Linked DNA regions of Oryctolagus cuniculus. The protein of the gene in region 1 interacts with the protein of each later gene in a pairwise test. Links are inferred from orthologs where the notes say so. Each region holds a gene or a part of one and is shown on either strand. Other genes may lie near its edges.

Region 1 (4,951 bases):
CCCAGGCAGGCACCAGGAGCCAGAGTGGACACCCCAGTGTGCCCCTCGCATTCTCAACCCCTCTCCACAGCCGTTCAGGTGCAGCAGCAGGGCGAGCAGCCACCAGGCGCAGGCCAGCCCTGGGGACACCGAGGCCCTGGAGTAGCTCACGCTGTCTCCACTGACTCATCCAACAGAAGCAGTGCTCAGGGCCCCACAGGGCCAGCTGGACTCAGCCCACCCAGAACGTGCTGGACACAGGACGCACAGCTGCCCTTGATGCTAGGAACAGAACAGCCCGGCGTCCTGTGAGATATTCCCGCATCTGCTCGAGGAAAAATGTTAACAACATTACAAATTTCCAAATGCTCATGTTGTACCAAGTAAACACAAGAAGCCCCATCACCCGACTGCATCCCGCGCAGCTCAGCTTTTACAGTTAAATGAGATTTATTGATTGTGTCTTCCCAAGAGCTACATGGCGGAGGTGCAGGCTATAAAACACTCAGACAAGAACACGCTGGGAGAATCCGGGGTCTGAAGACTGTCTTACAAAGGACACACATACATAAAATACCCAGTGCAGATCTATTTTTGTTGCTTTGGGGCCATTATGAAGGTACAGTTCTCCCTCCAGGAGTGAGATAGTTTACTAAGAAAACAGGAAAACGCCTCACTGGCCTTTTTAAGAGGCATCACATCAGACCTGGAACTCGGGGACAAAGCTGCACAGGAGCAGCCACACGAAGCAAACGGCTGGAGCCGCGGTCAGGAGCACAGGACGGCCGCTCCTGACCTGACCAGAGGTGGCACTGCCTGCGCCACCTGTTCCGCTAAGCAGGCAGCCGGGGCAGGCTGGACGCAGTTTCCCAGCCGGGCCCCGGGGAGCTGCCACCCACCTTCACCTTCTGTGACCGCTGGCTCCCACCTCTCCAGAAAAGCCCAACCTCCCACTCAGCCCCCGCCCCTTGCTGTCCTCCTCCTCATCCCCAGTGTCCAGGGCGGGCCTGGGCAGGGGCGATGCTTCCAGGCACTGACGCTGCAGCTGCCACATGGGTTTGCACAAACCAGTGTTGCTGTGATGCACACGGGTGGGAAGAAGCCAGCCGTCCTACATCCTGGACCCGAAACATAAGGAAAGCCATGTCCACTTAAGAGTCCTGAGAGTTCACATAGAGCAAGTTAAAGCCCTTCATCCACCCCAGGAAAGGCAGGACAACAGGACGGATTCAGAACACACATGCTACCTGACACGAGGATTCAGAACGCACACGCTACCTGACGCGAGGATTCAGAACGCACACGCTACCTGACGCGAGGATTCCCTGGCATCTGAAAAGCAAAGAGGGATCTGCATCTTTCCCCAGGAGACCAAGCCCAGCGACCCTGGCTCTGGGTGTGGCAGGCGGGGCCGCGCCGGCTGTAGGCCTCCAGCAGCCTGTAGCCCACGGCTTCCTGCTCCTCTTCCCGCTCCATGCACTCGAGTGCAGACTAGCAGTCATTCTAATAACCAGAATGCTAACAACAAAGCAATAAAGGGACAGGCAACTTCAACAGCAGGAGCAATGCTTCTGGCTGCAAGAATCTGACTGATTCGCTGACAGGTTGGCCTTGAAAGACACAGAAAAGAGATTTAAATATAGAATTTGTAAGAAAATCCAAAGCCAAGGGGATGGTGGAGGAATGCCGAAAACCAGGAAAATACGACAGGAACCTCTGCCTGGCCGAGTACAGCACAAGGGAAACTAAAATCACGTAACCTGGCAGAGTGGACTCTGGCCGGCAGGTGGTGAAGAGGCGCTGGGGGCAGAGAGGAGGGCCTGGGAGGGTCTGGCAGGGCAAGTGCAGGGCAAGTGCAGTGAGAGGACACGACACTGTACACACAGGGACGCCCACCCTGGGCTAGAAGGGACTGAACAAGCAGCTGGAGAACAGACGGGCCCAGGGTCCACACCCAGAGAGACGGGCCCAGGGTCCACACCAGTGAGATGGGTCCAGGGTATGCACCCAGTGAGATGGGCTCAGGGTCTGCACCCAGAGATGGGCCCAGGGTCCACACCAGTGAGACGGGCCCAGGGTATGCACCCAGTGAGATGGGCCCAGGGTCTGCACCCAGAGAGACGGGCCCAGGGTCTGCACCCAGAGAGATGGGCCCAGGGTCTGCACCCAGAGAGACGGGCCCAGGGTCTGCACCCAGAGAGATGGGCCCAGGGTCCGCACCCAGTGAGACGGGCCCAGGGTATGCACCCAGTGAGATGGGCCCAGGGTCCACACCCAGTGAGACGGGCCCAGGGTCTGCACCCAGAGAGATGGGCCCAGGGTCCACACCCAGTGAGACGGGCCCAGGGTCTGAACCCAGAGAGATGGGCCCAGGGTCCACACCCAGTGAGACGGGCCCAGGGTCTGCACCCAGAGAGATGGGCTCAGAGTATGCACCCAGAGAGATGGGCCCAGAGTATGCACCCAGAGATGGGCCCAGGGTCCACACCCAGTGTGAAGCGTGGATTTCAAAGGCGCCCAGGTCTCCAGTTCTCAGGACAGCAGATGAGGAGCTTACCTTGACAATATCCAGTCCTCCCACAAGCTCTCCCTTCACGTAGAGCTGAGGGTACGTCGGCCAGCTGGAGTACGCTTTCAACCCTTGCCGAACCTAAACAGACAACAGGGACCCTGAAGCCTTCCTGTCATACCCTGACTGTTAAAACCAAGACTAAGGACAAAACACAAAATACAAAACTTACTTCTTCATCCTCCAGTATGTCGAAGGTTTCATATTCAATACTGCAAAAAGGAAAAACATTTCAACAGGAAGTAGTTTTTTTACACAAAAATCTAAAACCCATTGATGTTATTAACACAGTCCAGAAAAGCAGATCAACTTTTCCACTGCTAACATGTGCTACAGACCGACAGAATGACTTTACTTCTCGTCTGTCTGCTCCCACAGAGTAAATCATCCCAATTCAAACTGATCTGGATTCTTCTCTAGGTAATACAAGGGTACTTCAAAAGCTCGTTGAAAATAGAATTAAAAGATAATTTCGATGTTAAAAATTCTGAAATTCATGCATACAAGAAGTGGTCAAAGGACTGGAGCTATGGTATAGTAGACTAAGCCTCCACCTGTGGCAGCAGCATCCCATAAGGGCACCAGTTCGTGTCCCGGCTGCTCCTCTTCCAATCCAGCTCTCCTGATGGCCTGGGAAGGCAGTAGAAGATGGCCCAAGTGCTTGGGCCCCTGCAGCCACGTGAGAGACCTGAAGAAGCTCCTGGCTCCTGGCTTCGGATTGGCTCAGCTCCAGCCGTTGCGGCCATTTAGAGAGTGAACCAGCGGATGGAAGATCTCTCTTTGTCTCTCTGTCTGTAACTCTGCCTCTCAAATAAATAAATCTTTACCAAAAAAAAAAGTGTTCAGAAGGCTCACAGAAAATGCACATCGTAAAAAATGCACGGACTTCCCATTTTTCCCTTGAACTCTCTTAAGTTCCCTCGTACGGGGGTTATGGGGTAGATCAGGAGCTAGCAACATGCTCTCACAGGCCAACAGTGAACATTCCAGACTCTGCAGCTCCTCAGTTCTGTTACAGGGTATAGAACAGCCATAGCCACAGCCACGGCCAGAGCCACAGCGCCCACTTGCAGGGTGCGTGTGTGTTCCCACACCACCCGAGTCACAAAGCCTGCGGCCAGCTGTAGCCTACCGACCTCTGGAGCCCAGCACTGAGTGCGCTCAGCCCACTCCTGGCCCCAGCCCTCCTACGCAGCTGCTCTTTAATGCTCACAGAGCAGGATGGGGAAGTGGCACCACGCATAAAAAATAACTACACTTCCTATGAAAGGGAATCTGCATTCATACGGAAATCTTGTTTACTTAGTAACAAGTTCCAAAGAAAACTGCCCACAGGAACACTCAAAAAAAATAATAATAATAAAAGGCACTGATGATAGTATAAACAAGCAGCAAGTACCAACAAAGGAATGTTTAAAAAGCAAAAAAAAAAATCAAAGAAAAAAAGACAGGGTGAAGTCTTCGTTCCAGGCAAAGCACAGAGGCGAGTGCCTTCTACCAATGGTGAAAATTCTGAGCTACGGCCTGCCTGGGAAGGGCCACGACTGCGGTGGGCAGCACCCCCGCCGGCACAGCTCCACCCGCTCCGTGCAAAGGCAGCGTTGCGTTTCACACTCCTCACACTGCTCCTCCATGCCCCCCACAACACTCTACTACTGGAGACAAGGGTAAGAATGGATGAGAAATCAGAAAATGCAGCTTTCTCCCCACACTCACTCCCGGCAAGATGAGGCCTGTTCATGAGCCCTGCATGGTGAGCTCACCATGGCTGGCAAGTCTGAGTGGGAGCTCACTGTCTCCCAAAGAAGCCCCTGTGCTGGCGTAACTGGCACGTCCCACCCACCCAGGGTTAGACACCCCGGCAGAAAGCCCAGTCAGAGGCCGTTCTCTGACCCTGCAGGGCTGGCGCGGGCGGTCTGGCGAGAAGACGATGACCTCTCCCTGAAGGAGCCTGCGCTGCTGGCGAGAGAGGGCTGAGTGTGTCTCCCTGCACGCCATGGCAGAGGGAGGTCCATAAAAACGACCAAAACTCAGCCAGCCTCCCCCCTGCGGAAAAGGGAGCAGGCATGGGACGTGCATTCAGCTCCTTGACTGTGCTCGCCTCTGTGAGAGCCAGACTTTGGAGAAATCAACTGTCTCTTGTTATGTCCTCAACGCTGTGTGTCAACCCGTGCTACTCAACTCACCCTCAATCCTGCCCACAAATGGTGAGAGTCCCAAGACTACTTTCCCTGTCACTTCATGGGGCTGTGCAATCTATTTAAAGGCACAGTTAGGATACATATTATAGGTGTCTTAAAAAAAAAAAAAAAGCAATTTTTAAATAAAAAAGTAAGAAAAGAACATGTGATTAAACCCCACAGAACACGTGCTTACAAAAACCCCAACAGCTCCCTCACCAAG
Region 2 (4,951 bases), on another chromosome or scaffold:
ACCCCTACCTGTTCTCCACACTCCAACCTGTTCCCCATCTTTCCTAGAAACACACTTGTTGAGACCTTCTCCCTCTTTCTGTGGTCAGGATTTTGCTAAAGATACCTCTTTTGATCTGAAACCAAATATCTGCTACACTTCCCAGGAAAGAACCTTCTATAAGCTTGACTTCAGAATCAGGAAAAACTATTTTGATGTTTTCACTGTCTATTTATTTATTTATACTAAATACTAGCATAAAATTTGGGGATTCAATTTTTAAACAGCCATGCTGGTTCCACAGTTTCAGATTCCCCCTAGAATAGAATCTGAGATAAGATTCCCATTGGTGGGCTTATCACAATACCTAGAAATTCATGACCTGTGTGAAAGGAATGAAAGGACCAATGAATCTCTACACCTCACCAAGCATATGCTTAATTTCTCAGCCAACAAATCAACAGTTCCTTACACAGTATATACATCTATGCTGTCCAACACAATAGCCACTGGCCACATGTAGTTATTCAAATTAATTAAATGAAATTTAAAATTCAGTTTCTTTGGCCGGCGCCGCGGCTCACTAGGCTAATCCTCCGCCTAGCGGCGCCGGCACACCAGGTTCTAGTCCCGGTCGGGGCGCTGGATTCTGTCCCGGTTGCCCCTCTTCCAGGCCAGCTCTCTGCTGTGGCCAGGGAGTGCAGTGGAGGATGGCCCAGGTGCTTGGGCCCTGCACCCCATGGGAGACCAGGAAAAGCACCTGGCTCCTGGCTCCTGCCATCGGATCAGCGCGGTGCACCGGCTGCGGCGGCCATTGGAGGGTGAACCAACGGAAAAGGAAGACCTTTCTCTCTGTCTCTCTCTCTCTCACTGTCCACTCTGCCTGTCAAAAAATTAAAAAAAATAAAAATAAAAAAATTAAAAAAATTCAGTTTCTTTGGCTAGTGGACACCACCTTGTACAACATAGATATAGGACATTTCTATTACATAGAAAATTTATTGGACAGCATGACAGAAGCTTCTTATAATTTTGCTGTGAGAAATATTGACTAGAGGCATAGAACACAGGTTGTAAGTACCAGTGCTCCCTACAAATCCATTTAAACAACTTGTCTAGGAAATCAACTCCACTCTTACAGCATGAGTAGCAGATTTAAAAGTACATTTTAGCTTTAACGGGTAATTTGAATCCTTACCAAAAATTTCTTTTTTTCACTGGCCCCTGCACATGAGCTTGTTGTTACTGTGGGGCTGTTCAGAAGGGCTGAGCTGCTGCTGTTGTGTTTTTTCTTTAAAAACAAAAAAACTGAGGTTAATAATTTGTATCCTCCAAGCAACAGAAACAGTTTGACATTAGTCAAGTAAATGTGGGTCCAAAGAGCCAGTCCCTTTTTGCTAAGATTATATGCTACTGGTCAATTCTTTTTGCAGTCTTCTGCTTTCGTTACTAGTGACCTCACTCCAGTAACACAGCAGCAGACAGAGTGAAAAATCGGGACTTCTCTTACAATAGCATTTAGGTTCTGCACAGAGGGATTTCTAAAATATAAACCCTCTTTTAAGAATTTTCAGGGACCACTCCAACCCTCTTTTCCTAGCCTAGTCCCTTTGGGCCTTCCCAACTCAAGAAAGCTTCCCCTTTTTACCCACCAACTAATGTCCATGGTAACAGTTCAGTTTGGAGAAAAAATCAGCTAACTGGAGCGGCATTAGCAAGCACACTCACATAGGAAGACAGGAAGGAAAGTGAGGTCATTAGGCTCAAGCTTGGGGGAGGGGACTCACTTCTGGTAAAATGTTCCTTCCAGAAGTGGCTTTTAATATAAATGAGTTACAGCACGGGAGAACCCACACAATCCAACAGAATAATGTATGAAACAGTACAAGAGTGGGTCCTCATCTGTTATTTCCTCAGTTCTATAAAGTAATCACGGTAACAAAAGCAGCTTTCTAAACTAATTCCATTAAAACATAAAACAAAAACTCATCCCTTTGTAGAGTTCCTAGTATTCCTAAAAGCAGGAAAAACCCTGTGAGGCTTTATCTAGCAGACCTAAGATAGAAAAATGTCTAAGGCCTTATACTTTCCCTAGGAATCAAGGGCACTTCTGAAGAATTGGTAGACACGGTGCAAATGAGGAGAAAGGTAAGCTGGTAGTAAAGATTACCACAAGGGAAAATGTCATGGACAAATTTTCATTAAATGTGCCTAATACAGCCATCTCACATAGCATTAGCATCTCACTAGGTATGGAAGCTCCCCTTTCTGCAGGTCAAATGACGTTAGAGGTTACAAGTTTAAATGTTAACAAAAAGGAAATGTTTTCCTAAAGAAACACACAGCTCTCAATAAATCAGGTACTCTCAACTACATGAGTCAATGAGTAGAAACAATTGTAAACAACAAAAACAAAATGACTCACTATTGCCTTTAGAACATATTATGCAATATTTTAATAAATAAATTTCCCTTCCTGATTATATTTTACATAAGCTAACACCAAAATTAATTTTTCCTGAGTATTTACTGTAAAGTAGCTAAAAATTATCTTAGGTTAAATATCACAAAGCTGAAAATTTGCTAAATAATCAATAAAGGAAAACAAATTATATGAACATTGCCCCCATAACAAGTGAAGGAATTTTTCTCTACAGGTGAAACACTATATACAAGATTTTGGGAATCCAGATCATGGACCACACGTGGTTAGTATATACAAGTATCTTTATCATGTAACAGACCCAGAAAGAAATGGGTCAACAGTATTCAAGCCTCTGGTATTAGTGTCCTTGGTTTCTCATATATTTCCCATTTCAAAACTCCTCCCCAACAAATATAGTTAAGCTCTACCAGAGCTACACACACCTGCCGATTTGGGTGACCCGTGTCCTTGTTCTTCATGGTCTCATATCCAGATACCCGGGGACGTCGGCTCATCTGGAGAGCCACCAGATCCTTCATGATTGAGTTCAATGCCTCTTGTTCATCTGCAATGTGAAAGAGAGCACATGGGATAAGACACAGAGCAGCAAAGCATTTTCACAGATTATATGACTGATACTCAGGGAGTTCTCTACCCAGGTAAAGTGACAGACTCTGTAATTACACCACATGCAGACCATGCCTCCCAAAAGTAGTTAATTGAGATCAGACTATGGCGACTTGAATTTTAATGAATTTTTAATAGCCCTTCACTCAGATTTCTGACAGCAATATTCATGAGTTCACTGCAAGTAAGGTAGGCACTCAAATAGAGCAGTTTGTCTAGTGACAGAGAAACTCAACCAGGAAAATAGATGAAAAGTTGGAGTGAAGAACAACACAGCATAGTGAAGTATTGACTGAAAAAATGAATTCATAGAAAGCTGACTAGGGGTCAGAGTCAGTCCAAGACTTACCCCTAAAACATATGTAGGAGAGGACCAAAAACCTCGGGTAGCTGCTTTGACAGAAGTTGTTTTACAAGCCTAGCCTTGGAATGCCTCCCCACATCAGTTCCTTTACAAGTTTATAGGCCTGCTTCCCATAGGGAAGTTGAAAGGCAGTTCTAGTGTTTTTCTTTACTAACTCACCAAGTAATGCACTGCCTCTATTTTACTGGCATTATTTTTAATCCCTTTTTCTTGAAATAGCATTGGAGTACTAGAGTTCTCATGCACTGAAAACAACTGGCCAAAACCCAAAAGCCAAAGTAGCCCAATTCCATGCTTTTTTGGGGGTATGGGGAAATGGGGTGACTCAGAAAACTTAATTTATAGACCTCCAAGTCTAACAAAATTAAAAGCTCTGCACAATGTTTTTTTTTAAAGATTTATTTATTTATTTGGAAGTCGGAGTTACACAGAGAGAGAGGAGAGGCAGAGAAAGAGGGAGAGAGAAAGAGAGAGGACTTCCATCTGCTGGTTCACTCCACAATTGGTTGCAACAGCCAGCACTGTGCCGATCCAAAAGCCAGGAGCTTCTTCCTGGTCTCCCACATGGGTGCAGGGGCCCAAGATGGTTAAGCGGCTCCCAAGGTAGGCCTTGCAGAGAGGGGCAGTGAGGTGAACTACGGGGCAATGGGCATACCACTTCTCAGATCATCCAACCTCTGCACCAACCAGCAGAGCAGAGGACAGAGGTGGATGGCAGGCAACACGGCCTGACCCAGGGACCCCACTACCTGACAATCCCAATTCCATGTTTTGCAAATTTTTCTAGGTCCTTCAAGAGATCTTTGCCCACTCAAATAGCATTTGGAAGTTGAAAACACATAAAACTGTTGATCTGGAAGGAACATGAGGGATGAGCTGTTAAAGTTATTTTTGTGACAAGTGAATCACTTGGAGATTTGGGGCACAACTTAAAAGAAGCAAATACTAAAGACTCACCCACAGAGGGAACCTATCTTTTGTCCTTTATTGTTGTCCCTTGATAATATTCAAATACCCAATGGAAAGGAAAGCTGCCTAGCGGCGCTGGCACACTGGATTCTAGTCGGTCCGGGCGCTGGATTCTGTCCTGGTTGCCCCTCTTCCAGGCCAGCTCTCTGCTGTGGCCCGGGAGTGCAGTGGAGGATGGCCCAAGTGCTTGGGCCCTGCACCCCATGGGAGACCAGGAAAAGCACCTGGCTCCTGGCTTCGGATCAGCACGGTGTGCCGGCTGCAGCGCGCCGGCCGCGGCGGCCATTGGAGGGTGAACCAACGGCGAAAGGAAGACCTTTCTCTCTGTCCACTCTGCTTGTAAAAAAAAAAAAGGAAGGAAAGCAAAGCATGGAATATAGGAAGTATAATCAGTCGAGTCACTTTCCCCATACTATTTGCCCCTCCCCTCTTCCTAGGTGCCCTACATGCCCTCTGAGTAGGTGCAGTAAAGGAAGAGAAAAAAGTGCTTATAAGGAGGTTTTTGTCTGTTCATAGATTTAAAATTTGCAGGGAAAACACAAGAGTAGATTGCTGTATGATTCTACTTCAGAACACAAAAGTGTGCA

What was found.
Region 2: the proteins of GLRX3 (region 1) and MAP3K3 interact in a two-hybrid assay, tested with the Homo sapiens proteins (2 studies listed by BioGRID and IntAct). The link is inferred for Oryctolagus cuniculus from reciprocal best matches to the Homo sapiens genes GLRX3 and MAP3K3.

Annotation. Positions count from the first base shown.
Region 1 is NC_091446.1:2,024,641-2,029,591, forward strand, and holds part of GLRX3 (glutaredoxin-3), read right to left. Parts: intron 2,761-4,951; coding exon 2,721-2,760; intron 2,630-2,720; coding exon 2,537-2,629; intron 1-2,536. UniProt on the Homo sapiens protein: Together with BOLA2, acts as a cytosolic iron-sulfur (Fe-S) cluster assembly factor that facilitates [2Fe-2S] cluster insertion into a subset of cytosolic proteins.
Region 2 is NC_091448.1:15,078,376-15,083,326, forward strand, and holds part of MAP3K3 (mitogen-activated protein kinase kinase kinase 3), read right to left. Parts: intron 2,970-4,951; coding exon 2,848-2,969; intron 1,271-2,847; coding exon 1,178-1,270; intron 1-1,177. UniProt on the Homo sapiens protein: Component of a protein kinase signal transduction cascade. Mediates activation of the NF-kappa-B, AP1 and DDIT3 transcriptional regulators.